Linked DNA regions of Stegostoma tigrinum. The protein of the gene in region 2 interacts with the protein of the main gene of each other region in a pairwise test. Links are inferred from orthologs where the notes say so. Each region holds a gene or a part of one and is shown on either strand. Other genes may lie near its edges.

Region 1 (7,831 bases), on a different chromosome or scaffold from region 2:
CCAGCCAAGTAAGTATATCCCTCCTTAAATAAAAGCCACCAAAACTATTCAGAGCAGTCAGGAGGTCTTACCAATGTTACGTGGTTATATAAAAGAGGTTGATAAGTCTAATCCCAGGTCAAAGTGGGATACAGAATTAAAGTGGTAGCACTTGGCACCTGAAACATGATCAGGTAGTGATCAGCAAAGCTGCTATTCAACTTGCTTTTGGTCTCTTTACAGTGGAGGAAACCATACTGAGCAGTGAACAGAGTTTACAAGGTTGCAAGATGCCCAAGTAAATTACTGTCTATACCATGAGTATTTTGAACATTGGGGAGTGGTGAGAAAAGAAAGAGACAGGTATTACACTTGCGTAGAAAGGACAAGTACCTTCCAGAGAACCCGAGTTGCCCAAGGGCAAATTGGGACAGGCAATAAATGCTGGCCAGCCAGCAATGCCCAAATCCCACAAGGAAATAAATTTAAGTATAAAAATGGCCCAGAGACTGCAGACCTGATCTTTCAGCCTGTTGAAACAATAGAAGGTGCTTCTTTGCAACACTAAAAAAGATAAAGTTGCCATAGTTTTTGTTTTTAAAAGAAAATTCACATGACAGTCATCATGGATCGACCACCATTTATTGCCCATCCCTAGAAACCCATGAGAAGATGATGGCGAGGTGCTTTAAGTAGGTCCACAATGTCAATGAGGGAAGTAATTCTAAGGATTTGACTGAGCGACATGTTTCCAAATCAGAATGGGGAACTTGCAGGTGGTACGCTCACATATCTACTGCCCCCGTCTATCTAGATGGAAGTGGTCTAAGGTTCTCTGGCAAGTCAAGTGAGCTGATTTGTACTGGATGGCTTTAAGTTTCTTGAACTTTGTTGGAGTCATACTCCCACGAGCAAGTGGGGAGTATTCCAATATGCTACTGAATTGTGCTTTGTAGATGATGGGCAGGCTTTGGAGTCAGGGAATGAGTTCCTCATTGCCAAATTCCTAGCTTGGGCTGCTTTTGTAGTCAGTCTTTTTTATTTTAAAAAAGACAAAGACAGTCTAGTTGAGGTTCTGATCAACAGTAACACCAACTCCGTACCCCACACTATTGTGCATGTCTTATTGCATTTGAACATGGACTGCCTCAGTATCATGAGATGACAAGACCACAGACTACTGAGATGACTCAGTGGTTTAACTCAAGGATCACCACACATCAGGAAAGGGGAAAGAGGTTGAAAAGTAGCATCCTTCATGGCAATTCCAGCCAGTGGAAGAACTGAGCTTATGTTGGTGTCACTCTACATTGCAAACCAGCCATTCAACCAACTGAACTGACCAATTCCTCCATATTAATTTGACAGAAATAAGCATTAAGTTGTCAAGTGCAGAAACCGTGAAAGGAAGTGGTGGACAAGAAAGTATGGTTTATTTAGGCCAAAAAGGTAATCCTCTGCTAGAAGGATGAGGGGAAAAACCTATTCAGTAAACTAGTGACAGGGCATTCCTACCAAAAAGGCCAATTTTTCACTTTTCCAAATACTAAGCCAGCCTTATCGTCTCCTTCCTTATCACCACTGCCCCACCATTTACATTACAACACAATTTTTCAATGTTTAAGTGCTTTACCTGGTTACTCCAGATACTTCAATCCCAGCAGTGACTAAGCAACCAAATAACACTCCGACACAGACGTTGCGTTTAAAAGTTACAATTGGGGCAAGGTGAAAAGAAAAATATATTGTTGGAAAATCCTTTTATAGCAGGCCTAGTTTGCACCTGCTACATCTAAAAGACGTCAACGTATACGTAGTGTTGGGGCTGCCTGTATTATTACAGACTACGAAAAGATTCACACGAATTAACTGGAGAATAGCTTCAGAAGCTACTGTACCAGATTGAGACCTCGTGATCGGTGGCAAATTATATTATCAGCAAAGCGATTGTCAACATGGAACAAAGACGCAGTGGTTGGAGTTTCCCCCTCCTGCACACATTTCCATTGCATCAAACATAACAGAAGACTAAACGTACTGGATCACAATCCAGAACCAACATTTTTGTTTACCTTCCCGCTGTGTTACTACAAACAATAACTAAAAATAAAAGCTGCTGAGAGAATACGGTGGAAGTAACCAGATCGGAAACGCAAAGACTTGGCGATCGTTCAGAAAACTGCGTTAGGAGACACATTCGCAGGGGTAGCTCTAAACAATGCGAGGTCGGAATGAGTAAATAATAAATTAAAACGCCAGCGAACTGGACAGCCCAGCCATTTCTAACAATAGCGAGTAGGAGAGCGAGCAGAGGGCCGCGGCCTACTAAAATCTCGCCATGCCGGCGGCCTCTCCCGCACAAACAATCAACACAATCCGCTCCCACTGCAGCCTCCGCCAAAGGCCAGGAGCCCTAAGCCTTCCGAATAAAACACGACAAAGCAGCAGGAGGGCGGACTGGCTTGCCCTAGTCATGCAACATCGGCACTAACTCTGGCCGCAATGGCCCTCCCCAGCGAACAGAGAGCTTCCCCTTCTCGATTCCCACCTCACTGCCTTATGGCGACTTTAAAAGGTCCGATTTCTGACTGTACTCACCGGCGTTAAAATGCAAACTCGAGTCGCACCCAGATACGTCGCTGCTTATTGTGTGCGTCGCACTCCTTGCCCACTCTCCTGCTCTCTCTGGACAGATGGATCAAAGGCTGACCCGCTGCCGACTCCAGACGCGAGGTGGGCCAGCGGCTCCTTTCTCTTTTCTTTCCCCCCCCCCCCCCGCCACTGTCAGCCTCCACCACCCGCCTCCTGCTCCCGCGCGGCGGCACCAAACGGCCGCGCTCGAGCTCCCCACAACGCGCTCACCTGCCCTTGCGCAGCGCGCCTAATTATTCCAGTGGGTGGGCCAATCAGCGGCAATAGCCAGAGCCCGCGCGAGCCTGGTCCACAGACGGTGACGACAACGACCAAGACTGTGAACTGGCGTGTCAGTGATGGAAGTGCTGAAGGAGCTGAGACCAACCTTGTTGTCACCGAGGTACACATCACTGAGTAAAACACCACATTATGGGAGGGACCAGAACATACATGGACGATAAGATTGGTCAAAGCTAGGATTACCATGTCGGGCAAAATTTAATAGTAACATATAATAAATAGTTTTTATGGCACGCTAATGCAGTGCATTGGAAATCAAACCTCACTTCTGCCGGAGTCTTCACAGAAAGATTAATTAAACTCTCCAGGGTCCCCATTTAATTTGATTGCAAACCCAAGTAAAATGAAAATACTCATAAGGTATTGTACCACAGAATCCCGACAGTGTGGAGTAGGCCATTTGGTCCATCAAGTCCATACCTACCATTCGAAGAGCATGTCATCCAGACGTACCCATATTATCCCTGTAACCCCATATTTCCCACGGCTAATCACCTAACCTGCACATCTTTGGACCTTTGGGGGGCGGGAGGGTGAACTGGAGCACCCGGAGGAAACCTACGCAAAGACGGAGAATGTGCAAACTCCACAATGTCACTTGTGGGTGGAATCAAACCTGGGTCTCTGCCACTATGAAGCAGCACTGCTAACCACTAAACCAGCCATGTCACCCATTTTCAGGGAAAGTTGGGATGAGGGAAATACAAAGGATTAAAACTGGTATTTAACCATAACTTTACATTTAACTAACTACTTAACAAGAAAACGTTTAGATTTTGCAAACAAATTGTCTTTAACTGATGGCAAAAAAATTACCAACTTGTAACTCTTTATATTTTAATTTCTACCCCTTTTAAGAAGCTTTTCTGGGCTTAATCAAAAGGGTGTTAGGCCAGCTTTTCTGATGGCCAAAGAATTGTATTTTCATCGTAGACGGGAGTTACGCAGGGAGATTCTGCCATTGGACCTGAACCCACCAGAACTGACATCCACCCTCCTCACCGTACCCTCGAGACTGTAGCACTGACCTGGCCCCCTGGCCAAATTCCAGACATGTTCCCACTTGGCACCCTACTTACCTTGCAGCTTACCCCTCCTCATCCACAGTCCATCCCGCTCAGGCATTTTATGTGTGTCACTGTACCATTTCCCCAGCTAGCACCCTATGCACCTTGCACTCCATCCGTATGCATCTGACATCTTACTGCTAGGCATCTTCCCTACCCAGCAGGCGCTTCATATACCCAACAATCTACCTGCCTGCCAACCTAACACCTACTCATCTGGCAACCGAACTCAAGCATCCAACCCCTTCCCATCTAATATCCCACCTCTTCCTAGCAGGCATCTGATCCATCCTATTTACCTGAAGCATTGGAACCCACCACTAACTATCTGGCACCCTAATCGCTGGCATTCCACCATTCCACAACTGGCATTCTACCATTCTACTTTTGTGGCACCATTCCTGTCTGGCATACTAGCATTCTAAACCCCTACCTATCTGTCACCATTGACTCCCAGCACCATAACCCTATTCTAATCTGATGTATTCACTATTTAACAGCAGCTTCCAAAGTCACTGTCTGGACCTTTAAATCTCAGAATGCAGCAGCTGGCTGGTAGGAAAAGGGAGCATGGATTTCCTTCCTGTGACAGTTTTGCAGCACAGAAGAACTGACAGAATAAAAGTACAGTGATAATGGGAACTGCAGATGCTGGAGAATCCAAGATAACAAAGTGTGGAGCTGGATGAACACAGCAGGCCAAACAGCGTCTCAGGAGCACACTAGCTGACGTTTCGGGCCTAGACCCTTCATTAGAGAGGGGGATGGGTAGAGGGAACTGGAATAAATAGGGAGAGAGGGGCAGGCGGACTGAAGATGGAGAGTAAAGAAGATACGTAGAGAGGAGGGTATAGGTGAGGAGGTAGGGAGGGGATAGGTCAGTCCAGGGAAGATGGACAGGTCAAGGAGGCGGGATGAGGTGGTAGGTAGGAAATGGAGGTGCGGCTTGAGGTGGGAGGAAGGGATGGGTGAGAGGAAGAACAGGTTAGGGAAGCGAAGACAGGCTGGGCTGGTTTTGGGATGCAGTGGGGGGAGGGGACGAGCTGGGCTGGCTTTGGGATGCAGTGGGGGGAGAGGAAGAACTGGGCTGGTTTTGGGATGCAGTGGGGGAAGGGGAGATTTTGAAGCTGGTGAAGTCCACATTGATACCATTGGGCTGCAGGGTTCCCAAGCGGAATATGAGTTGCTGTTCTTGCAACCTTCAGGTGGCATCATTGTGGCACTGCAGGAGGCCCATGTTGGACATGTTGTCTGAGGAATGGGAGGGGGAGTTAAAATGGTTCGCGACTGGGAAGTGCAGTTGTTTGTTGCGAACCGAGCGGAGGTGTTCTGCAACGCGGTCCCCAAGCCTCCGCTTGGTTTCCCCAATGTAGAGGAAGCCACACCAGGTACAATGAATACAATATACCACATTGGCAGATATGCAGGTGAACCTCTGCTTGACATTGAAGGTCATCTTGGGGCCTGGGATAGGGGTGAGGGAGGAGGTGTGGGGGCAAGTGTAGCACTTCCTGCGTTTGCAGGGGAAGGTGCTGGGTGTGGTGGGGTTGGAGGGGAGTGTGGAGCGGACAAGGGAGTCGTGGAGAGAGTGGCCTCTCCAGAAGGCAGACAAGGGTGGGGATGGAAAAATAGCTTGGGTGTTGGGGTCGGATTGTAGATGGCGGAAGTGTTGGAGGATGATGCGTTGTATCCGGAGGTTGGTGGGGTGGTATGTGAGAACGAGGGGGATCCTCTGGGGGCGGTTGTGGCAGGGGCGGGAATAGAAGAACAGGTCTGCATTTCAGAAGGAGTCCTGATTAGAATCTCCTCTCAGAAATGTGAAATTGTTTTTTCACTAAAGAAGGGCCAAAGTGGCAATCTACAAGTGATTGCCAGTTCTCTGAAAATTTGGTCTATTGTTTTATTAGTACTGAATTTTATTTTTGTATTTGTTCATGGGATGTTGGCTGTTACAGTATTTATTGCTCAGAGTACAGTTAAGAACCAACCACATTGCTATGGGATGTCAGATTTCCTGCATCAAAGGGCATTAGTGAACCAGACAGGTTTTTCATGACAGTTTTTATTGCATTCAGATGTTTTATCTTCCATAGTGAGGTTTGAACCCATGTTGTCAGGGCATTAGTCTGGGGCCCTCTGGACTACTAGCCTAGGAACAATACCATGAGACCAGTGTCTCCCAATAAAGTGTCCACATCATCCTTAACTAGCGTCACCTGTCTGGGTGTATCTCACTCGGAGGTAGGAAGGATAGCCGATGCTGGAGTCAGAGATAACACAGTGTGGAGCTGGAGGAATACAGCAGGATAGGCAGCAACAGAGGAGCAGGAAAGTTGACGTTTTGGGCCAGGACCCATCTTCAGAAATGGGGGAGGGGGAAGGGAGCTCAAATAAATAGAGAGAGGAGGAGTAGGGCTGGGGAAGGTAGGTGAGATGGTGATAGGTGAGTGCAGGTAGGGAGTGATGGGGATTGGTCAGTGAGGTGGGAGGAGCGGATAGGTGGGAGAGAAGATGGACAGGTCGTGTCAGGTCAAGGAGGTGGAATGAGAGGGAGGGTTGGAAGGAATTGGGTCTCCGCCGCGTCTGCTCCCAAGATGGGGTGTTCCACTCCTGAAGATCCCAGATGTCTTTTTATTTCAAGGACTGCAACTTACCTGGTCGGTGGTTGAAAATGCTGTCGACTGCAACTCTTGCGTTTCCTGCACCACTGCCCTCACATTCCCTCTCCCCAACAAATACAAAGACAAAAACCCCATTGTCCTCACATATCACCCCACTAACCTCGGTATCCAATGTCTCATTCTCTGCCACTTCCGCCACCTACAGTCTGACCCCACAACCAAAGAAATATTTCCCTCCCCACCCCCCTCTGCCTTTTGTCAGGACCACTCTCTCCATGACTCTCTCATTTGCTCCACACTCCCCACTAGCTCCACCACCCCTGGCATCTTTCTCTACGACCGCAGGAAGTGCTACACCTGCCCCTACACCTCCCCCCTCACCTGCATTCAAGGCATCAACAAACCTTTTACATCAGACAGATGTTCACCTGAATATCCGTCAATGTGATCTATTGCATCTGCTACTCCTGATGTGGCTTTCTGTACATCAGCGAGGCCACGCGGAGGCTCGGAGACCGCTTTGAAGGGCACCTGCATTCTGTTCATGACAAACGACAACACCTTCTGGTCATGAACCATTTCAACTCCCACCTTCCCCCATTCCCTGGTGACAGGTCCATCCTGGGCCTCCTCCAGTGTCTCACTGATGCTACCCGGAAACTGGAGGAGCAGCACTTCATATTCCACCTTGGGAGCCTACAGCCCAATGGCCTAAACGCGGACTGTACCATTTGAAAATTTCCCCACCCCCGGCCTCATCCCATGACCAACTCTCACCCTCATCCCTGCCTCCTTGACCTGATGCAGCCTGTCCATTTTCTTTCCCACCTATCCGCTCCTCCTACCTCACTGACCAATCCCCACCAAGCCCTACCTACACTCACCTGTCACCACCCCACCTGCCTTTCCTAGCCCCACTCCTCCTTCTGTGTTTATTTCTGAACTCCCTTCCCCCTCCCCCATTTCTGAAGAAGGGTCCCAACCCAAAATATAACTTTCCTGCTCCTTTAATGCTTCCTTGCCTGCTGTGTTCCTCCGGCTCCACACTGTGTTATCCTTGGGTGTATCTCTATAGATTTCTATATAATCTCTAAGTAAACCTACTGGGCCTTCCCATTATCCTTCCTCTAAATATAAGAAGACAGGCTGAATCTTATATTTTTTGCCTGGGTGAGTTTTGTTCCTTTTCACAAAAGGTTTCACTCCACAAGACTTTGTGATATCTCTCGC
Region 2 (7,155 bases):
AAATAAGGCAGTGACGTCAAACGATATCACGGTCTCTTTGACATCCATCCTTATGTCTTTGATGGAGTTGAGGAATTCTTGGGCTGAGTGGATAGAGTGGGGTGACTTGTTGACTAGGTACCTGAATCTCCTTTGTAGTTCCTTGGCTAATCTATGTCATGGAGTGCCTGGTAGGGAGACTATGGGTCTGAGGGGTACTTCTGGCTTGTGCACTTTAGGGAGGCCGTAGAATTGGGGTGTGTTGGTTCCTTTGGGTTTCATTCTTGAGCAGTCTGCTATGTTGATCTGTCGTGTTTGTTTAAGTCTTTTTAGTGTGTAGAGGATTTTGTTGCCTAGTTGCAGTGTTGGGTCAGTTTGTACCGGCCAGTATGTATTCTCATTGGTGAGCAGTGCATGTGCCTTGGAGATGTAGTCCCTTTTTTTCAGTATCACTGTCATGTGCCCTTTGTCTGTGGGTAGTATTGTCATGTTCTTGTCCTTCTTTAATCCTTCCAGGGCCTGTCCTTCCCGTGTGTTGACTATTGAACACAGGGCAACAACACACTGCAGCAACACGGAACTTTGCCAAGAGGAAGAAGAATACCTCTTCCAGGTTTTCAAGGATAATGGATATCCAAAAAACTGGGTCAGAAGATGCCTACATGAACAACATCAGAAAGATACTACACACCCTGACACACTCATCACACTACCCTACATCAGGAATACGTCAGAACTCACCACAAGACTCTTATGACCGCTGGTCATCACAGTGGCACACAAGCCCATGTCAACCTTTCGACAACTGCTCACCTGAACTAAAGACCCACTCCCGCCATGGACAGGACCAACGACATCTACAAGATCCTCTGCAGTGACTTTGAGAAACAGAACATCGGAAAAACAGGAAGGAAACTAACAACAAGAGTACATGAACACCAACTGGCTACAAAATGATGTGACCAGTACTCACTCATCTCAATCTACATGGACAAGGAGAGCAGAGATAATGGGAACTGCAGATGCAGGAGAATCCAAGATAACAAAGTGTGAAGCTGGATGAACACAGCAGGCCAAGCAGCATCTCAGGAACACAAAACCTGATGTTTCGGGCCTAGACCCTTCATCAGAGAGGGGAATGGGGAGAGGGTTCTGAAATAAATAGGGAGAGAGGGGGAGGCGGACCAAAGATGGATAGAGGAGAAGATAGGTGGAGAGGAGTGTATAGGTGGGGAGGGGATAGGTCAGTCTGGGGAGGACGGACAGGTCAAGGGGGCGCGATGAAGTTGGTAGGTGGGAAATGGAGGTGCGGCTTGAGGTGGGAGGAGGGGATAGGTGAGAGGAAGAACAGGTTAGGGAGGCGGGGACGAGCTGGGCTGGTTTTGGGATGCAGTGGGGGAGGGGGAGATTTTGAAGCTGGTGAAGTCCACATTGATACCATTGGGCTGCAGGGTTCCCAAGCAGAATATGAGTTGCTGTTCCTGCAACCTTCGGGTGGCATCATTGTGGCATTGCAGGAGGCCCATGATGGACATGTCGTCTGAGGAATGGGAGGGGGAGTTAAAATGGTTTGCGACTGGGAGGTGCAGTTGTTTATTGCGAACCGAGTGGAGGTGTTCTTCAAAGCGGTCCCCAAGCATCCGCTTGGTTTCCCCAATGTAGAGGAGGCCACACTGGGTACAGTAGACTACATTGGCAGATGTGCAGGTGAACATCTGCTTAATGTGGAAAATCATCTTGAGGCCTGGGATGGGGGTGAGGGAAGAGGTGTGGAGGCAAGTGTAGCACTTCCTGTGATTGCAGGGGAAGGTGCCGGGTGTGGTGGGGTTGGAGGGGAGTACGGAGCGGACAAGGGAGTCATGGAGACAGTGGTCTCTCTGGAAGGCAGACAAGGGTGGGGATGGAAAAATGTCTTGGGTGGTGGGGTCGGATTGTAGATGGCGGAAGTGTCGGAGGATGATGCATTGCATCCGGAGGTTGGTGGGGTGGTACGTGAGGACGAGGGGTTTCTCTTAGGGCCGTTATTGTGGGGGCGGGGCGTGAGGGATGTGTTGCAGGAAATGCGGGAGACACGGTCAAGAGCGGTTTCAACCACTGCGGGGGGTGTAGGTTGAGGTCCTCGAAGAACGCGGACATCTGGGATATGCGGGAGTGGAATCCTGGGAGCAGATCCGGCAGAGGCGAAGGAATTGGGAATAGGGGATGGAATTTTTGCAGGGGGCTGGGTGGGAGGAGGTGTATTCTAGGTAGCTGTGGGAGTCGGTGGGCTTGAAGCAGACATCAGTTTCTGGCTGGTTGCCTGAGATGGAGACAGAGAGGTCCAGGAAGGAGAGCCACCATTTCAACTGGGACAATACCAAAATCCTGGGACAAGCTAGGCAGAGACAGGCACAAGAATTCCTAGAAGCCTGGCACTCCAGAAAGCAAGCAATTAATAAACATATTGAACTCAACCCCATATACATTTCACTATGAAGGAAAACCGGAAGTGAGGCAATCCATCTCAATGGACCCCAGAGTTTAAACACCGATGCTTCATCTGAGGCTGCACTGAGGATGTTACCCAGCATGGTAACGAAAGACTGCGAAACAAGAAATCAGCTCAGCAAGCCAACCAACCTCAAAAAACTTTAACTTTTATGGAAGGATTATCCCTTGCCATAAACATTTTAAAACTAATACAATTATGATCACTAGACTCAAGTGTTCCCCCAGAATCATCTCAGACACTTGCCCTGCCTAATTACCCAAGGAGTCAAAGATAATGGAAACTGCAGATGCTGGAGAATTCCAAGATAATAAAATGTGAGGCTGGATGAACACAGCAGGCCAAGCAGCTGCTCCTGAGATGCTGCTTGGCCTGCTGTGTTCATCCAGCCTCACATTTTATTACCCAAGGAGTCAAGTTTTGTTCCTTCTCTAGTAGGAACATTTACATATTGATAAAGAAAATTTTATTGAACACATTTAACAAATTCTTCACCATCCAAACCTTTAATACTATGGTAGTCCCAATCAATGCTTGGAAAGTTAAAATCCCCTCTTATTACAACCTTTTTATTCTGAGATCTCTCTACATACTTTTTCCTCAATTTCCTTCTGGCTATTGAGTGGCCCAAAATATAAACACATCACGGTGATCATTCCTTTCTTATTCCTAATTTCAATCCATATACTTTCACTGGATGAATTTTTGGAAATATTTTCTCTCGATACAGCACTAATGCTTTCCTCAATCAAAAACACCCCACACCCCACTCTATCCTACCTACAACATTGAGCTGCCAGTCCTGTCCTTCCCTCAATCAATTTTCTGCAATAGCAATGATGTCTCAACCCCATGTACCCAAACATGCCAAGCTCATCAGCCTTGTATTGAAATAAATGCAGTTTAATACTTCAGAGCTCCTTCTTTGTCTGACTTGTTCTTGCCTGTCTCTTCTAATTAGCTTGCTCTTTTCAGATTCATAACCATCCTTATGTATCTATTTACAATGCTACCTCTTTAATAGTTCGCAGTCTTCCTTAATAGAACTAGCACACCTCCCTGCCAGGATAACAAGGCGTAGAGCTGGATGAACATAGCAGGCCAAGCAGCATCTCAGGAGCAGGAAGGCTGACGTTTCGGGCCGAGACCCTTCTTCATTTCTGAACTCCACACCTGGAGAATTCAACAGCCAATTAAACTGAGTTTACAATCCAGAATGTGGGGAACATTAAAGAACATTACTTTCGAGCAGAGAATCATAAACAAACTACTTTCTGTTCACAAACGCCCTTGAAATAAGAGTGAGGCTTGGGGTTTGGGTGGATGCAAAGATGGACGTTAAGCAATGCATTACCCCAGCCCCCACCCCCTAAACATACGTAACATATCCTCCTTAGTGAGCCGCAATAACACACCAACAAGTCGGGGAAATCAGTGGGTGAGTATTATGACAGGTAGACCTTGCAGGGGATGTCATTTGACGCGGGTAAGGGATGAGGTTTGACCCTGTCCAGGTGTACACGGATCAGTAGCACGGAAGGCCTAAGTGTACTGAATGAAGATTACAGCCGAGCGGGCCCATATCGCTCCAACGTTCGCCAGTCAGCGACTGAGCCGCGAGCCCGTCACCGCCAGCCGCTCGCGCTTCTCGCCGACCCCATTCGCCCGACGGAGCTGTTGGAGTGCGCCTGCGCGGAAGCGCCGCCATTTTGGCCGTGCTGATAGTCTGATGTTGTAAGGAAGGCTGAGCCGAGGCCGAGCAGCGCGTCGCGAAATGGCCAATATCGCAGTGCAGCGAATTAAACGAGAGTTTAAGGAGGTCTTGAAGAGCGAAGAGGTAAGAGTTGCTCCCAACCTCACCTACGCTAATCTGTTCATACCTTCTTGGTTGACTGGCTGCGGACGGGAGAGGAGAGTGCGGGGAGTTTCATGGTGATGGACACGGGACCGGGTGATGGACAGGCGCCAGAGGCGGTTTCGGGAAAGTCCAGGGAGCCTTTGCGGGGCTTACTATAAGTCACTTTTTTAAAAGCTGCTGCAAATCTGCCGTTTATCAATGTCATAGCAATGGCGTGGTTGATGTGAAGCTCTTCAAATGCCGGATTTTTGGGAGGTCCGGGTGGTACCTTGAGCACTCAGGTTGTTGCTAAGCTTGTAGGCGTGTGACATTTTTCCACCACCATGCGAGACATCCACCTCCACATTAATTTTGTATACGGCTGAGTTCGTGGTGGAAGGAATTGAGATGAACGGTTTATTTCATGTTATTGCTAAGGTTTAGTCTAATGCTTTTCTTTGTTTAGAAACCGTATTGGTATCGGATGACATCGTCTCGTTAGGTGATATCTGGTTTCCACAATTGACATTTGGTTATTTTGCTGTGTTAACATGTTTTTCATTTCAGATATGCATTTACTTCACCACATCAGTTTTCTTTTAAACAAAAGGGAACGCAGGAATTTAGATCCGTGATTACGTTAAGCTAAACGACTATATAAAGTTTATCATAGTTATGAATTTAAATCTGCTTTAGACGTATTAAGTTGGTCAAAAATTAGTTATCTGCATATGGTTAGGCTCCAACTGACAATTTCTTTCCGAAGATTACAATTTTTTTTATCAGGTGTTGGTCAGTTTTATCATCTTGGAGTACTAATGCTAACTGTAGAACCTTACATAGTTTTCTGAAAGAATTCTACTTTTGAGCAATGTGCTCAGTCCCTACCTACTTTGAAAAGTTTTTGCAAATACCTTTTAATGTAGGTAGTAGATATGGGATTGCTTACATTAAAATTACATTAAAATACAACTCAGTTGTATTAAGTGTTTTGAACTATTTCTTCAAGGGTGTAATTGCATATTATTGATAACTGCAGATGTTTGATCAGTTATATGTTTACAAATAAAACATGTGACAGTTATGTTGTTCACTAGGATTTTATTTGATTTGTTTTCAGTATCTTCCTTATGATCTGATTGGGCCTCCGGCATGAGTGTGTCGCTGGTAAGGCCAAATTGCCTGGTCCAAATTGCCCTTAAAGATGGTAGGGTGCTGCCTGAGAATCCACGAATCATTCAATACTGAAGAGGCCCTTTGTGCCATCTAATCTGCCCTGCTGAAAATACACTACTATATACACTAGTCCTATTTTCCCATGCTAGGTCTATAGCCTTGAAGGTTATGAGCTCTTGAAGTGCCATCTAAGTACTTTTTTAAAGCTTGTGAAGTTTCCTACCTCACCAAACCCACCATGCAGTGTATTCCAGACTCTCACCATCTGTCTAGATGAAAAAGGTTTTCCTCAAATTCCCTCTAAACTTGTATTTTACTTTTAAAATTATGCCCCTTTTGTTATTGATTCTTTGATTAGCAGGAACAGCTGATTTTTCGTCGCCATGTCCATGCCCTTCATAATTTTACACACCTCCACTAGGTTTCATCTCAATTTCTGTGCTCAGAAGAAAACAACACCAGGTTATCCAACTTCTCTGCATAGCTGCAGTGCTTCATCCCTGGCAACATCCTGGTGAATCTTCTCTGCAGCCCCTCCAGTGTTATTACATCCTTTCTATAGTGTGGTGACTAGAACTGCATGCAGTATTCCAGGTGTGGCTTAACCAAGCTTCTGTAAAGCTTTAACATGATATCCCTGTTCTTATAATCATTGTCATGACTGGTGGACGCAAGTGTCCCATGTGCCTTTTAACTGTCCTGTTAATCTGTCCATCAGGGATCTGAGGACAAGCGCGCCAAAAATTCTCTCTCTTATTCTGAGCTTTATTGTGTCCTGCCATTCATTGGGTACTTGTTCCTTGTTCCTTCTTCCAAAGTACATCACCTCATGTTTGTTACTGTTAAATTCCATCTGTCACCGATCTGTCCATCTGACCAATCCATATCCTTCTGTCACCTAACACCTTCCTCCTCACAGTCAAACACCTAGATAATCTTTGTGCCATCTTCAAACCTACCCTATCAACCCCATTTTTGAATATCAAAAACAATAGGGTCCCAGTGCTGATCCTCATGGGATGCTACTGTACACTGGACTTCATTTACATAAACAACTTTCTATCAACACCAATTGGCTCTTGAGCTGCTACAGTTCATATGGTGTAGGTTCACCCATGATGACAGAAGCAGTTCCAGGATCTTGACCCAGCAACAATAGACACATATTGCCATTCTAAGTCAAAGTAGTGTGTGGCAGGGAGGATCTTGCTGGTGGTGTTCAACGCATCTGCGACCCTTATCCTCCTAGGTAGTAGAGGTTGCATGAATGGAAGTTGAAGGTCTTGTGGTGGTGGTTGGCATACACATTCTAAGTGTAATGCTACATCATCACTGTGCGTCAGTAGTGGGAAAATGGATATAAAGTAAGGGGGTTGCTTTGTCCTAGATTGTGTTGAGCTGCTTTTTAACTGTTTTGGATTTGCATTTGTCCAGGACAAAGCAGAGCTTTCCATCACCCTCCTCACTAATTCCTTGTTGGTGGAAAAGCTTTGGGCAGTCAAATTTTCAGTCACTTGTAGAATTCTGATCTGTTTTTATAATCGGTGTCTGATTGTTGGTCCCTGCCAGAATGTTGATGGCAGGAGTTTAGAAATGGCAATGCCATAAAACCCCAATAAGAAATGGCTAGATTCTGTTTGGAAATAATAATTGTCTAGCATTTGTAACACAAATG
Region 3 (7,117 bases), on a different chromosome or scaffold from region 2:
GTTCTGAGGAACATTGATAGAGTGGATTAGGGAGTAGTGTTCCCCCTCAGTAGATGCGTCAGTAACCAAGAAGCACTGTTGTAAGGAGTGGGAGGCTTAGTGGGGATCTGAGGAAGAATGTTTTCCCCCAGAGGCTGGTGGGGGATCTGGAACATATTGCATTTGAGGGAGAGAGAGGAGGGGCATTGAATAAGTATTCAGGTGAACAGCACAGCACATAAGGGGATGGGCCAAATGGCTCCAGCAGAACACTTGTGGCACTGCAGTAATGTTCCTGGAGAACCGGTTGTTCCAAACATGTGTCAAAACATCCATGAACAAGATCATTAGAAAATATCTCAGGGCTAGTATGGTTAAATGGGGTTAGAACAAATGGATGTTGGATGGCTGGTACTGGCTAAATGGGCTGAAGGGCCTGTTTCTATGCTGTTAAATACCCTACCTCTGCAAATCAAGGGCAATTACAGGCTTGCAACAACAACAACCGGTGAAGCCCATCTTCTCCCGGGACGCTGCAAGAGAAAGGTGACATGGAAATAAAGCTTGTTGTATTGTGAACCTCAGTTGTTGTTGTAGACCAGCCCCTTGCCGTCATCCGTTCGTCCCGCCCCAAACCCCCCGTTGCCGTCCAATCACCCTTTTCTCTTTCGCGATTGACAGCGATTCCATCCATTCGATTTACACCGCACACGAGCCCCGCCTCTCCGCACACGGATTGGAGGGCATTTATGACTGACGGGGCCTGTGTCCAATCAGTCAGACCAGTACCCGCACGCCCTCAGCCCCCGGAGATAATGGGAACTGCAGATGCTGGAGATTCCAAGATAACACGGTGTGGAGCTGGATGAACACAGCAGGACAAGCAGCATCTCAGGAGCACAAAAGCTGACGTTTCGGGCCTAGACCCTTCATCAGAGAGAGGGATGGGGAGAGGGTTCTGGAATAAATAGGGAGAGAGGGGGAGGTGGACCGAAGATGGAGAGTAAAGAAGATAGGTGGAGAGGAGAGTATAAGTGGGGAGGTAGGGAGGGGATAGGTCAGTCCAGGGAAGACGGACAGGTCAAGGAGGTGGGATGAGGTTAGTAGGTAGATGGGGGTGCGGTTCGGGGTGGGAGGAAGGGATGGGTGACAGGAAGAACCGGTTAGGGAGGCAGAGACAGGCTGGACTGGTTTTGGGATGCAGTGGGTGGGGGGGAAGAGCTGGGCTGGTTGTGTGGTGCAGTGGGGGGAGGGGATGAACTGGGCTGGTTTAGGGATGCAGTGGGTGGGGGGGAAGAGCTGGGCTGGTTGTGTGGTGCAGTGGGGGGAGGGGACGAGCTGGGCTGGTTTAGGGATGCAGTAGGGGAAGGGGAGATTTTGAAGCTGGTGAAGTCCACATTGACACCATTGGGCTGCAGGGTTCCCAGGCGGAATATGAGTTGCTGTTCCTGCAACCTTCGGGTGGCATCATGGTGGCACTGCAGGAGGCCCATGATGGACATGTCATCTAGAGAATGGGAGGGGGAGTTAAAATAGTTCGTGACTGGGAGGTGCAGTTGTTTATTGCGAACTGAGCGGAGGTGTTCTGCAGAGTGGTCCTCAAGCCTCCGCTTGGTTTCCCCAATGTCGAGGAAGCCACATCAGATACCTCTGCTTGATGTGGAAGTGATGTTCACCTGCACATCTGCCAATGTGGTATACTGTATCCACTGTACCCGGTGTGGCTTCCTCTACATTGAGGAAACCAAGCGGAGGCTTGGGGACCGCTTTGCAGAACACCTCCACTCGGTTCGCAATAAACAATTGCACCTCCCAGTCGCGAACCATTTCAACTCCCCCTCCCATTCTTTAGACAAAATGTCCATCCTGGGCTTCCTACAGTGCCACAATGATGCCACCCGAAGGTTGCAGGAACAGCAACTCATATTCCGCTTGGGAACCCTGCAGCCCAATGGTATCAATGTGGACTTCACCAGCTTCAAAATCTCCCCTCCCCCCACTGCATCACACAACCAGCACAGCTCATCCCCGCCTCCCTAACCTGTTCTTCCTCTCACCTATCCCCTCCTCCCACCTCCATTTCCCACCTACCAATCTCATCCCGCCTCCTTGACCTGTCCATCCTCCCCGGACTGACCTATCACCTCACCACCTATACTCTCCTCTCCACCTATCTTCTCCTCCATCCATCTTCAGTCCGCCTCCCCCTCTCTCCCTATTTATTCCAGAATCCTCTCCCCATCCCCCTCTCTAATGAAGGGTCTAGCCCCAAAACGTCAGCTATTGTGCTCCTGAGATGCTGCTTGGCCTGTAATAATGGGAACTGCAGATCCTGGAGAATCCAAGATAATAAAGTGTGAAGCTGGATGAACACAGCAGGCAAAGCAGCATCTCAGGAGCACAAAAGCTGACGTTTCGGGCCTAGACCCTTCATCAGAAAAGGGGCATGGGGTGAGGGTTCTAGAATAAATAGGGAGAGAGGGGGAGGCGGACCGAAGATGGAGAGAAAAGAAGATAGGTGGAGAGGAGAGTATAGGTGGGGAGGTGATAGGTCAGTCCAGGGAAGACGGACAGGTCAAGGAGGTGGGATGAGGTTAGTACTTAGGAGATGGAAGTGCGGCTTGGGGTGGGAGGAAGGGATGGGTGAGAGGAAGAGACAGGTTAGGGAGGCAGAGACAGGTTGGACTGGTTTTGGGATGCAGTGGGTGGAGGGGAAGAGCTGGGCTGGTTGTGTGGTGCAGTGGGGGGAGGGGACGAACTGGGCTGGTGTAGGGATGCAGTAGGAGAAGGGGAGATTTTGAAGCTGGTGAAGTCCACATTGATACCATGTGGCTGCAGGGTTCCCAGGCGGAATATGAGTTGCTGTTCCTGCAACCTTCGGGTGGCATCATTGTGGCAGTGCAGGAGGCCCATGTTGGACATGTCATCTAAAGAATGGGGGGGGGGAGTGGAAATGGTTTGCGACTGGGAGGTGCAGTTGTTTGTTGCAAACTGAGCGGAGGTGTTCTGCAAAGCGGTCCCCAAGCCTCCGCTTGGTTTCCCCAATGTAGAGGTAGCCACACCGGGTACAGTGGATGCAGTATACCACATTGGCAGATGTGCAGGTGAACCTCTGCTTAATATGGAAAGTCATCTTGGGGCCTGGGATAGGGGTGAGGGAGGAGGTGTGGGGGCAAGTGTAGCGTTTCCTGCAGTTGCAGGGGAAGGTGCCGGGTGTCGTGGGGTTGGAGGGCAGTGTGGAGCAAACAAGGGAGTCACGGAGAGAGTGGTCTCTCCGGAAAACAGACAGGGGTGGGGATGGAAAAATGTCTTGGGTGGTGGGGTTGGATTGTAAATGGCGGAAGTGTCGGAGGATGATGCTGCTGCTGCTGCTGCTGGGTTCACCCAGCTCCACACCGTGTTACCTCAGTCCCGGAACCTGGGAGCTGGGCGGATCGCCGACCGGTGTCCTTCCCGCTGCCGTCAGAATTCCAACCAATCATTCACCGAGAGCTACGATCGACAACAATCCCAACCAATGGCAAGAAGAAAAATAAGAGGGCGGAAGGTGATGGACGGCTACATTGACCAATAAGATAGTGACCGACGGGGCTTGGTCCAATGGGAGTCGGGGTTTGTTGATTGACGACGTTTAAGTCAATTTGGAGCCGACGTCTATCGGTGACCCGCCCCGGGGCGGTATACCATCCAATGGGAGCCGGGGTCTAGCGACAACCGCTTCCGCCTGGCTGATTGACGGCGGTGTAGCCGAATCAGATGGCGAATAACGGCCATGTAGATTAATCAGACGATGATTGACAGCAGCCTGTTGAAGGGAGCTCATAGTCGAGGTGTGACCCGGTCCTGGCGCACACCATGACCGTAGCGATATCCAATGGGAGCCCGTAACTACCTTTCCCCGCCTCCCGAGACCTGATTGACTGGAATATGATCCAGTCATACATCGATATTGGCCGCGTGTTTGAAACGAACGTTGATTGACGACAATATGTCCAATGGGAACCGTGCATCCCGCGGCAGCTCCCGCCCAGAGCCAGTGATCGACGGCAGACCAGCCCAATAAATACCGCTGTCCGCGCTGGGTCCGCCCCTAAGAAGGCGGGCCGTTAGGAAGGGGGCGGGACCTGCGGTAGTGTGGTGTTTGTTCAGTCATGGCGGCCGCGGCTGAGGGCAGCGAGAGGGCGGCGGCGGCGGGAGAGGAGCGGCCGGGGCAGGCCCAGGCCGACAAGGGCAGCTTCGAGTGTAACATCTGCCTGGACACCGCCAGGGACGCGGTCATCAGCCTCTGCGGCCATTTATACTGGTCAGAGAGAGGGGGGGAGGACAGGGGTCTGGGGCTGTGTGGGTGGGGGGCGGGGGGGTGGCAGGGGGCTGTGTGGGTGGGGGGCGGGGGGGTGGCAGGGGGCTGTGTGGGTGGGGGGCGGGGGGTGGCAGGGGGCTGTGTGGGTGGGGGGCGGGGGGGTGGCAGGGGTCTGTGGGGGGCGGGGGGGGTGGCAGGGGTCTGTGGGGGGTGGGGGGGGTGGCAGGGGTCTGTGGGGGGTGGGGGGTGGGGGTGGGGGGTGGGGGGTGGGGGGGGTGGGGGTGGGGGGGGGGCGGGGGGGGTGGGGGGGTGGGGGCGGGGTGGGGGGTGGCGGGGGCCTGCGGGGGGGGGGCGGGGGGGCGGCGGGGTCTGCGGGGGGGCGGCGGGGGGCGGGGGTGGCGGCGGGGTCTGCGGGGGGGCGGCGGGGGGCGGGGTGGCGGCGGGGGTCTGCGGCGGGGTGGCGGGGGTCTGTGGGGGGTGGGGGGCGGGGGGGTGGCAGGGGTCTGTGGGGGGGTGGGGGGCGGGGGGGTGGCAGGGGTCTGTGGGGGGGTGGGGGCGTGTGGGTGGGGGGCGGGGGGGGCTGTGGGTGGGGGGCGGGGGGGCTGTGGCGGGGTGGGGGGCGTGTGGGTGGGGGGCGGGGGGGCTGTGGCGGGGTGGGGGGGCGTGTGGGTGGGGGGCGGGGGGCTGGTGGCGGGGTGGGGGGCGTGTGGGTGGGGGGCGGGGGGGCTGTGGCGTGGGAGGGGCGTGGGGGCTGTGTGGGGTGGGTGGGCGGGGGCGGGAGGGGCGTGGGGGCTGTGTGGGTGGGTGGGCGGGGGCGGCAGGGGCGTGGGGCTGTGTGGGTGGGTGGGCGGGGGGCGGCAGGGGCGTGGGGCTGTGTGGGTGGGTGGGCGGGGGCGGCAGGGGCGTGGGGGCTGTGTGGGTGGGGGGCGGGGGGGCAGAGGGCGTGGGGGCTGTGTGGGTGGGGGGCGGGGGGGCAGAGGCGTGGGTGCTGTGTGGGTGGGGGGCGGGGGGGCAGAGGCGTGGGAGGGGCGTGGGGGCTGTGTGGGTGGGTGGGGCGGGGGCGGCAGGGGCGTGGGAGGGGCGTGGGGGCTGTGTGGTGGGTGGGCGGGGGCGGCAGGGGCGTGGGGGCTGTGTGGTGGGGGGCGGGGGGGCAGAGGCGTGGGAGGGGCGTGGGGGCTGTGTGGGTGGGTGGGCGGGGGCGGCAGGGGCGTGGGGGCTGTGTGGGTGGGGGGCGGGGGGGCAGAGGCGTGGGAGGGGCGTGGGGGCTGTGTGGGTGGGTGGGCGGGGGCGGCAGGGGCGTGGGGGCTGTGTGGGTGGGGGGGCGGGGGGGGCGGCAAGGGGCGTGTGGGGCTGTGTGGGTGGGGGCGGGGGGGGGGCGGCAGGGGCGTGGGGGCTGTGTGGGTGGGGGGGCGGCAGGGTTGTGTGGGTGGGGGGCGGCAGGGGTCTGGGGGCTGTGTGGGTGGGGGGCGGGGGGCGGAGAGGTCTGGGGGCTGGGCGGGGGGGGCGGGCGGCGTCCGGGGGCTGTGTGGGCGGGGGTTGGGTGGCGGCGGGCGGCGTCCGGGGGCTGTGTGGGCGGGGGCGGGGGTTGGGTGGGGGGGGCGGGCGGCAGGGTGGCAATGGGTCGGGGGGGGTGGAGTCTGGGGGAGGGGTTTGTCTGGATCTCAGTGGGGGGAGGGGTGACTTGGGTTGTGGAGACGTCTGAGAGATGACAGTTTGTCTGGGACATGGGGTTGGGGGGCATTTTGTCCGGAACATGGGGTTGGAGGTGGGGCGACCGTGCCCGAGCCGTGGGGTTGGAGGGTGGCGGGGGTGGTGGGTACTGTGCTTGGCTGGTAACAGGGTGCCTGGGTCTTGCAGGGCCCTCAGGAACCGGTGTCGGAGTCTGTGCAGGTTTGGGGGCACCTCTAATGTGATAGATCCAGTGGGGAGCATCACCCACCACACTGTGCTGTTCTCAGCAACTTCTACCACTCCACCCTGTCCAGACCCCACTTGGGGATTTCTGTCAGATCTCCCAAAGAGAGCAGCCCCAACTTCCCCAACCTGTCCTCATCGCTGATGTTACCCATCCCTGGAACTATTGTTGTAAATTGTTTTTGTTCTGTCTCTGATGTATTCACATCTTCCTGGTGATGTGGGACAGCCAACTGAGGCCCTTGTTAATGATCAGCTTACCGCTGTAACTCGTCTCTTCCCCTGACCTCCCACTTTAACAATCTCTGCACGTACACACCAGGGCCCTCTGCTCCTGCGCTCATCAGTTTGACCCTCCCAGCAGGACTTTGCACATTTTCATTACTGTCTGGGTATAGAGGTTTCCTCTCAATTGCTCATCATGTCTTCTTGGTCACTTTCCATTTAGGGTTTCTGTCTCCCTCGCTCTTCTCCACACCCCCTGCCTCTCCCTCTTACATACATACTTCTGTTTGCAGTTTGGCCCCTGCTGGCAGAGTCAGCTTTCCTGCAATCAGGTTGTTGTTAAGTAATCACACTATTGTTAATCATAGAATCCGTACAGGGTGGAAACAGACCCTTCGGCCCAACAAGCCCACAACGAACCTCAGAGCATCCCACCCAGACCCATCCCCCTATAACCCACCTAATCTACACCTCACTGAACACTACAGGCAATTTCGCACGGCCAATCCACCCTAACCTGCACATCTTTGGACTGTGGTAGGAAACCGGAGCACCCGGAGGAAACCCCCACAGACACGGGGAGAATATGCAAACTCCGCACACAGTGGAACCTGGGTCCCTGGCACTGTCAGGCAGCAGTGCTAACCCCTGTGCCACCCTACTGATGACACGCCTTCCCTGCTAGCAATGGTAAGAGAC
Region 4 (7,683 bases), on a different chromosome or scaffold from region 2:
GCCCATCGAGTTTGCTCTGCCATTCAATCATGGCTGATAAGTTTCTCAGCCCCATTCTGCCACTTTCTCCCTGTAACCCTTGATCCCTCTGACAGAACCTATCTATCTCTGTCTTAAATATACTCAATGACCTGGCCTCCGCAACCTTCTGTGGCAGTGAATTCCATAGATTCACCACTGTCTGGCTAAAGAAGTTTCTCTGGCTGAAGCAGCCAGAGTCAATGATAGCAATGAATGCACTTACCCTTCTGACATAACAATTGATGTGAAGCAGTGTCCTTGTGATTCAGAGTAAGATCAGCATTTGCCTATTTACAAGAGAGACTGAGGAGGAAATGAAGAGTTGAATTTTCCATTATCGCAGCTACCTTCCAATGCATCTTGATTTTTGGAAGGATTGCGCCACAATGTCAAGTGAGGAAGCTCGCCATAGCTTACCAAATTTGCTTTATTCATTACTTACCCTACCCTGTGACATTCCTCGTATTAAATTCCAGTTCCATCTTACCGCACAATTTTCCCAGAACAACTCACCAGTACGTGATATCCCGGAATTCATTGTACCCACACCACCTCCCAAGGCTTGTTGTGTACTGGACAAGCGCCGTCAGTTGTGAGTTGCCTCACATGGTTACTGACATTTGCCCTGTGTAATGGAACCTTTTCCACTTGCCTGGATGAACACAGCTCCAAGAACACTCAAAACGCTTGACCCCATCGGGGTCAAAGCAGCCAGTGAGGCAAATACTAAATAAAAAAATGAAAGAATTGCAGATGCTGTAAACCAGGAAATAAAACAGAAATTGCTGGAAAAGTTCAGCAGATCTGGCAGCATCTGTGAAGGTAAAAACCGAGTTAACGGTTCGGGTCTGGTGACCCTTCCTCAGAAGGCCAGTGAAGCAAGTTGAGCTGTTAACAGGGTGTTTAACAAGCAATAACAACCCTTAATTTGTAAGTCACTGGTGCTTCACAAGAAACTTCCACAAGTGTCAGAAGCGTAAAAGATAGAGTGAGAGGCCCCTGACGTTGAGATAAGCCTTCCTGTATTTCAAATCTGATTTTGCCACAGGTCTCGCCATAGTCCAAATTGCAGAGACCTCTATAGGATTCTACCTAAGGTATCAAAACTACAACAAAACTTGCTGTGTACAAAGATGCAGTAATACCCACCCTGCTATATGCCATTGAGACATGGATCACCTCCTCCAGACCAATTAAGCATTTGAACAGTTTCCACATAAGGTGCACTTGAAATGTCTTGGTCATTAAATGGCAAAAGAAAGCAACCGAGAATAGAAATGTCTGGAAATTAAGTGTTAATCATCAGGTTACAGCTCAAATTGACTGAACATACAGCACATATAATTGACAATAAAATCTCGAATATTCACACTTAAAATAGGACACCCTCTACATGGTAGGCTTATAGTAAGATTCAATAATGCCTTGATTGCAAATTTCAAGAAATGAAGCATGACTCAGTCTTGAGAAGGATTTACAATAAATAAAAACTACCTAGGGAGCAATCTCTAGTCATGGCCTTGTTTCAGATGGCAAAGAATGCATGCAGCAAACAACAATAGGCCTGTTAAAAGGACACGGTAATACCAACAAAATCAGATAACTCATCCTTGCCCATTATATGCAAAGCAATGAAAAACTGTAATTCCGCTCCACAGATATGCTGAAGGTATGCAACAGATCATTCTACACATGCAAGAAGTGGCTTTCTTTGTTAATGAAGACACTGCTTAGTGTTGGCATTAGGGTGTTAGTGATGGAGTGTATGTGTTGGGTTAGTTTGTTATTATTGGGTGTAAGTGTTGTGATAGGAATGCTCATATTAAGATGTTTCTATTCAGGCGTTAATTTGGAGTTAGATTGCTACTGTTGGAGTGAAGTATCAGTGTGTGATTTTTTTTCATTCACAGGGGAGTGTTACTGTCTAGGTCAGCATTTACTGTCCACCCCTAACTGCCCAGAGAGCAGTTAAGAGTCCACCACATTGCTGTGGATCTGAAGTAACACGAAGGCAAGACCCGATAAAGCTAACAGATTTCCTTTCCTAAAGGGCATTTGGTAAGTTTTTCCTGACAATCCACATGGTTTCATGGTCATCACTAAACACTTAAATGCAGATTTTTCCACGACAGGTTTTAAAATAAAAGGACCCCAGAACATTATCTGCATCTCTGGATGGATACTCTAGTGGTAAAGCCACTCAACCTATCGCCTCCAATGTGTGTTGCTTTGGGGCAAAGTATCAGTCTGATTGTTAATATTTAGATATTAGTGCTGAAGCTGGTATTTTCGTCGCAGTGTGTTAAGGGCTGGTATTTGTTGTTACTTTTGGGACTTGACTATCTATGTTGGGATCAGGGAGTAACAAATGAAGTGTTACTTTTGAGATTAGGGTATCTGTTGTTAAGGTCAGGGTGTCGGTTTCAGGGTTAGATGGTCGGCTTTGGGGGCCTTAGTACTGCGGGGCTGAGGCTCTGGGAGATCACTTTGAAGGAGAGGCCAGTCCAGACTAGGCCACGACTGCAGCCTCCGCTGCCAGTCTCCACTTTCCGCCGGCTTATCTCTATGAAACACACACTAAATATGTAAGTAGGCTCTAAGCGATACTCACCTTCATTCCGCCAACTCGAGCAGTCGGGTCTGTAACGCGGTTTAAAATTAAAACCAAGCCAGACACAGCCCGCGATCCAAACACTTCAGAAGGAAGCGTCTGCAGTTACTTGGCAACCGAGCTCTTGGTCCAGCTCCAACGCTCAATCAAAAGAAAATCTCAGGCTTTTTAAAAACAATTTTAACATGTACTTCCATATTTTTGGAATATTGTTAATTTTACTTTTGCTTCCCACTTGGAATTCAATTCCAAAGAGTTTTGAACCAGTTTTACAGGAGCCTGCTGTCCCCTCGATGCTGTATTCTGCAGTTCAGGTGAATGAAATGAATTTTTATCGTTTTTTTTCGAAACTGTTCTTTAGAGAGAGAGATTGAATTATGACTTCAACCTCCAGAATCCCGTTGCTAAGTAACTGCTGCCACTTGCAGCAATCCCCCTGGTAGCTGTGTGTATTCGGTTTTCTTTTGTTTTAATTTTAAAAGAAGTCAAGAGACCTTGCAGCTCAGCCTTTCTTACCAAGTTGAGTTTGAGACCCATCTGGCGAAATAAGAAACGTCTCGGTGTAACTTCAAATGCAGAGGTTTTATTTCGAATCTGGAGATCTGCAATGGTGCACACAAATTTCTCATTTAAATACATCAGCTAAAACAAACTAAATAAGAGTGTTTAAAAAATTGAAAGAGCTGCGAATGCTGGAAATCAGAACAAAAATATAAATAGCTGGAAAAACTCAGCAGATTTGGCAGCATCTATGGAGAGAAATCAGGTTTCAGGTCCAGTGACCCTTCTTCAGAACTGATAGTAGCTCCGAAACAGTTGATTTTACAGCAGAAGACAGGTTGGGGGGAGTGGGTATGGAGTAAACGAAGGTGGAGATAGAGCCCAAAGCAAAAGAATAACAGTTGGACAGACAAAGGAGTGGATATAATGGTCAGTCTAGGAGAATGAATGACTGATATTAGTGTCTAATAATGAGTTGTGTGTAATAGCCAACTGTGATAACAAGGCCTGGTGTGTGAGGGGAGAGGTAAAGACATTGGAAGAAGTTGCTCCAGCCCTTAAGTTTTTGAATTCAATACAGATCCCAGAAGGCTGTACAATTCCCAAGCAGAAAATGAGGTGCTGTTCTTCCAGCTTGCACTGAGCTTCACTGGAGCACTGCAGCAAGCCAGAGGCAGAGATGTTGGTCAGAGAAGAAGGTGCTGTGTTGAAGCGGCAGGCAATGGGATGCTCAGGGTCTTTTTTACAGGTGTTCTGGGAAGTGGTCACCCAGGCTATGATTCATTTCCCCAGTGTGGAGGAAACCACATTGTGGGAGTGACAGCAGCTGTATCTCCACCTATTGTTTACTTCTTACCCCCTCCCACTACCATCTCTTCTGTATAAATAACAACTATTTCCTACCTACCGTCAGTCCTGAAGAATGGTCACTGGACCCAAAACATTAACTCTGATTTCAGTGCACAGATGCTGCCAGACCTTCTCAGTTTTTCCAGTGATTCCTGGTGTTGTAAATAAAAGCAAAGACTATGGGTGCTGGAAATCTGAAACTGAAAAATACAGAAAGTCCTGGAGAAAGTCAACAGGTCCAGCAGTTTCTGTGGAGAGAAAAAGAAATAATGTTTCCAGTCAAAAAGAAAAATAACAAAGTAAAGCATGCAAATAAGGCATACTAGTCCGACATGTCCTGCAGACCTCACAGCAGTGATCCATTACAACCAGTGCGTTCATTTGCAAGTGTTACTTGTTCTCCCCTCCTTGGGTGGGCGAATCTGGACCCTGCACTTTGGGAGGACCCGCACCAGGACCAAATGTGGACCTGGAAGCCTATCTTCACGGAATGGAAGGAAAAACTGGAGAGTTGCAGTGGCTGGGGGCCCACAAATTGATTTGCCTTGAACTGGCATTCCCCAAGAAACTTTTTGGGCATTCAACAATGCAGTATTTCTTCATTACTGCAGTAAAGCTGTCAGTTTTAGATTCCAGGCCTGGAATAAGACTTTTGACTACAATATTAAAGTGCTACCATTTTACGCACAGCCAAAACACTGTGTGACTTAGAGGTCACGATGTTTCCATGATAAAGTAGGTCTTGTCCTGAATGTTCATGTTTGCACTGGAGTAGGTGATGTTAGAGTAACCATGGGAGAGTTATTGCAGTGCATCTTGATGGTGATGGATAGAAAAGCTTCAATTTACTGATTTTGGAAGGGTGAATGCTAGCGCTAGTGGCAGGAGCACTGATCGAGTGTATTATATTCCAGATAATATTTCGATTTCTGAATGATTTTGCTGCTGCATCAACCTAAGTGAAAATGCTATCACATGCCTGACTGGACCCACGTATGTGGAGAAGAGGTTCTGAGATGTCAGGAGTTGAGATTTTCATCATAGATGAGTGAGCCTTGGCCCTTGTCTTTGAGCCTTGATGTTGATATATCTGATCCAGTTCAGCTCCTTTACAATCATGACGCCCAAATTTTGGATGGTGTTTTTGATAGCGCTAGTACCAGTGTTGGTCATAGAGACATAGCTTGACGTTCATTTTCTCAAGATCCTCTTTACCTGTCACTTATGTGTTGTGAATGATAGCTTCCACTTGTCAGCCCAGCGTGAGACTATTCCAATGCTCACCTAATGGGTCTCCATTTCCCACCTTCACAAAGTTGAGGTCATCCATTATTTGGATTTGTCATTTCTTACAGCTGGATTTTCTTTTGGCCACTAACCCTGCCCATTTATTTTACCTTTTAACAGGCACTGATACCTGCTTACTTATCAGCATTGATGATTGTGTTGAATTGCATCAAGAATCAGCACCCGGCCCCTTCCTTTTCCAGACATGAATGTTCTTACGGAGTGAGCCAAGAAGTGTAACGGTCAATGATGTTTGTAGATGACAGTGATTTCAATGCAGCAAGACCTGGACAATATTCAGATTTGGGCTGACAAGCGGCAAGCAACATTCCTGCCTCACAAGTGTCACACAATGAGCATCTCCACCAGGAGATAATATAACTTATATATAGATAGAACAATACAGCGCAGAACAGGCCCTTCAGCCCTGGATGTTGCACCGACCTGTGAGCTAATCTAAGACCATCCCCCTACACTATCCCATCAGCATCCGTATGCTTCTCCAAGGACTGTTTAAATGCCCCTAATGTGGCTGAGTTAACTACGTTGGCAGGCAGGGCGTTCCATGCCCTGACCACGCTCTCAGTAAAGAACCTGCCTCTGACATCTGTCTTAAATCTATCACCCCTCAATTTGTAGCTATGCCCCCTCGTACAAGCTGATGTCATCATCCTCCGAAAAAGATTCTCACTGTCCACCCTATCTAATCCTCTGAACATCTTGTATGTCTCTATTAAATCCCCTCTCAGCCTTCTTCTCTCCAATGAGAACAGACCCAAGTCCCTCAGCATTTCTTCATAGGGCCTGCGCTCCAGACCAGGCAACATCCTGGTAAATCTCCTCTGCACCTTTTCCAATGCTTCCATATCCTTCCTGTAATGGGATGACCAGAACTGCACGCAATATTCCAAGTGAGGCCGCACTAGAGTTTTGTACAGTTGCAGTATGACATCACGGCTCTGAAACTCAACCCCTCTGCCTTTGACATAAAGTGGCACCACCGTCACAAGATTACCCCACTGATACCATCCTGGATGTGACCATTGACCAGAAGCTGAACTAGACTTTTGTGTAAATACTGTGGCAACAAGAGCAGGTCAGAGGCAATGAATCCTGCAGTGAGTAGCTCACCTCCTGACTCCCCAAAGCCCGGTCACAAACCACAGTCAGAAGTTAGGTGTGGGATGGAATGATTGAAATAGTTACATTGATATAGAAGGCATCTTTTAAAGACAGGTGAATGTTATTTTGTTTTTCTTTTTGTCAGGAGCGAAGAATTAATTGTGATGCAGATGTACACCCAAAATGCTACATTTATGGCTGTACTGCAGTCAAATGCTGTTAGAATACGCTCGATGAAGCTCGAACATTTTAAGTTGAAAAGTGTGATCATTTTGAAACAGAAGCAGAAGCCATAACTTTGGTGATTTGCCTGGAAAGAATGGAATTTTCTTTATTAAAATGTGGTACTGTGGACAATTGCTAATAAGGAGGAGAATTGCGAAGCAAAGGTATCAGACACCTGTAGAAATTTGCCCTCAGAACCCACCAAAATGGGGAAATATTAATTTGACAGTTGCTGTCAAACACTACATTTACCTGTTCAAACGGGAACATCCTGAGGCAATACAAAAGGTTACTACATGTAAAATTAGTGAGAAGCATAGAACTGAAACCAAAAGATCAACTGTAAGTGATGTTTATAGTTGAAAGGGAAATGACTGGCAGTTGAACAAAGTGGTCAGGCTTCAAAGAGAAAGTACTATTCTAAATATGAGCATATAGATCCAGCATTGTGTACGTGATTCAGTAATCTTAGTGCTTACAATGCAAGGGTCAATCATGACAAGTTCATTACCAAAGCAAAATTGTTTGATGATGACTTGGGTAATAATGACTTTGTAGACTCATGTGCAGTTTTAAAAAATGATAATTCATTGGCTTTACAGTGATAAAAGGAGATGTGACAGAGTGTAAAGTTGACACTTGGACAAAGCAAACTAATAGGGTGTTTCACCAACTTTGCAACCAAAGATATTTGTTATTTTCACAACTGTTACCATTATGTAATCTTTGAAGAATGTTGAACTTTGTATCTTAAACTTTGAATCTCCTAAGTGCATGTCATACAACGGCTATGTGATCTGAGTGATATCATTATTAGGAATGTGTATCGCTGCTACAAGTTTAAGATAGTGCCTTAGATATTCTTTCGTTTATATTGGTTGTAGTTCCCTTACATTGAAAGGTATTGTTCGTATTGCTGACCATTCAACAATGCAATAGATGAGAACCAAAAAAAGCTCATCTATGGGAAGTTGCCTTTTTGAGTCACTGCAGTCAGTGTACTGCAGGTAGACCTAATGCTGCCATCCAGATATGGGCTGGGGACTGCTGCTAGGTCTACGTGGCTA

The links.
Region 1: the proteins of ube2kb (region 2) and siah1 interact in binary tests that used the Homo sapiens proteins (3 or more experiments, as listed by UniProt). The link is inferred for Stegostoma tigrinum from reciprocal best matches to the Homo sapiens genes UBE2K and SIAH1.
Region 3: the proteins of ube2kb (region 2) and rnf5 interact in binary tests that used the Homo sapiens proteins (3 or more experiments, as listed by UniProt). The link is inferred for Stegostoma tigrinum from reciprocal best matches to the Homo sapiens genes UBE2K and RNF5.
Region 4: the proteins of ube2kb (region 2) and rnf32 interact in binary tests that used the Homo sapiens proteins (3 or more experiments, as listed by UniProt). The link is inferred for Stegostoma tigrinum from reciprocal best matches to the Homo sapiens genes UBE2K and RNF32.

The regions. Positions count from the first base shown.
Region 1 is NC_081369.1:29,621,455-29,629,285, reverse strand, and holds the start of siah1 (E3 ubiquitin-protein ligase Siah1), read right to left. Parts: upstream 3,008-7,831; 5' UTR 2,578-3,007; intron 1-2,577. UniProt on the Homo sapiens protein: E3 ubiquitin-protein ligase that mediates ubiquitination and subsequent proteasomal degradation of target proteins.
Region 2 is NC_081354.1:98,591,536-98,598,690, forward strand, and holds the start of ube2kb (ubiquitin-conjugating enzyme E2Kb (UBC1 homolog, yeast)), read left to right. Parts: upstream 1-4,134; 5' UTR 4,135-4,241; coding exon 4,242-4,304; intron 4,305-4,347; exon of another isoform or gene 4,348-4,411; intron 4,412-7,155. UniProt on the Homo sapiens protein: Accepts ubiquitin from the E1 complex and catalyzes its covalent attachment to other proteins. In vitro, in the presence or in the absence of BRCA1-BARD1 E3 ubiquitin-protein ligase complex, catalyzes the synthesis of 'Lys-48'-linked polyubiquitin chains.
Region 3 is NC_081387.1:28,190,994-28,198,110, forward strand, and holds the start of rnf5 (E3 ubiquitin-protein ligase RNF5), read left to right. Parts: upstream 1-4,097; 5' UTR 4,098-4,130; coding exon 4,131-4,282; intron 4,283-7,117. UniProt on the Homo sapiens protein: Membrane-bound E3 ubiquitin-protein ligase that mediates ubiquitination of target proteins. May function together with E2 ubiquitin-conjugating enzymes UBE2D1/UBCH5A and UBE2D2/UBC4.
Region 4 is NC_081355.1:140,737,964-140,745,646, forward strand, and holds the start of rnf32 (RING finger protein 32), read right to left. Parts: upstream 3,017-7,683; 5' UTR 2,633-3,016; intron 1-2,632. UniProt on the Homo sapiens protein: May play a role in sperm formation.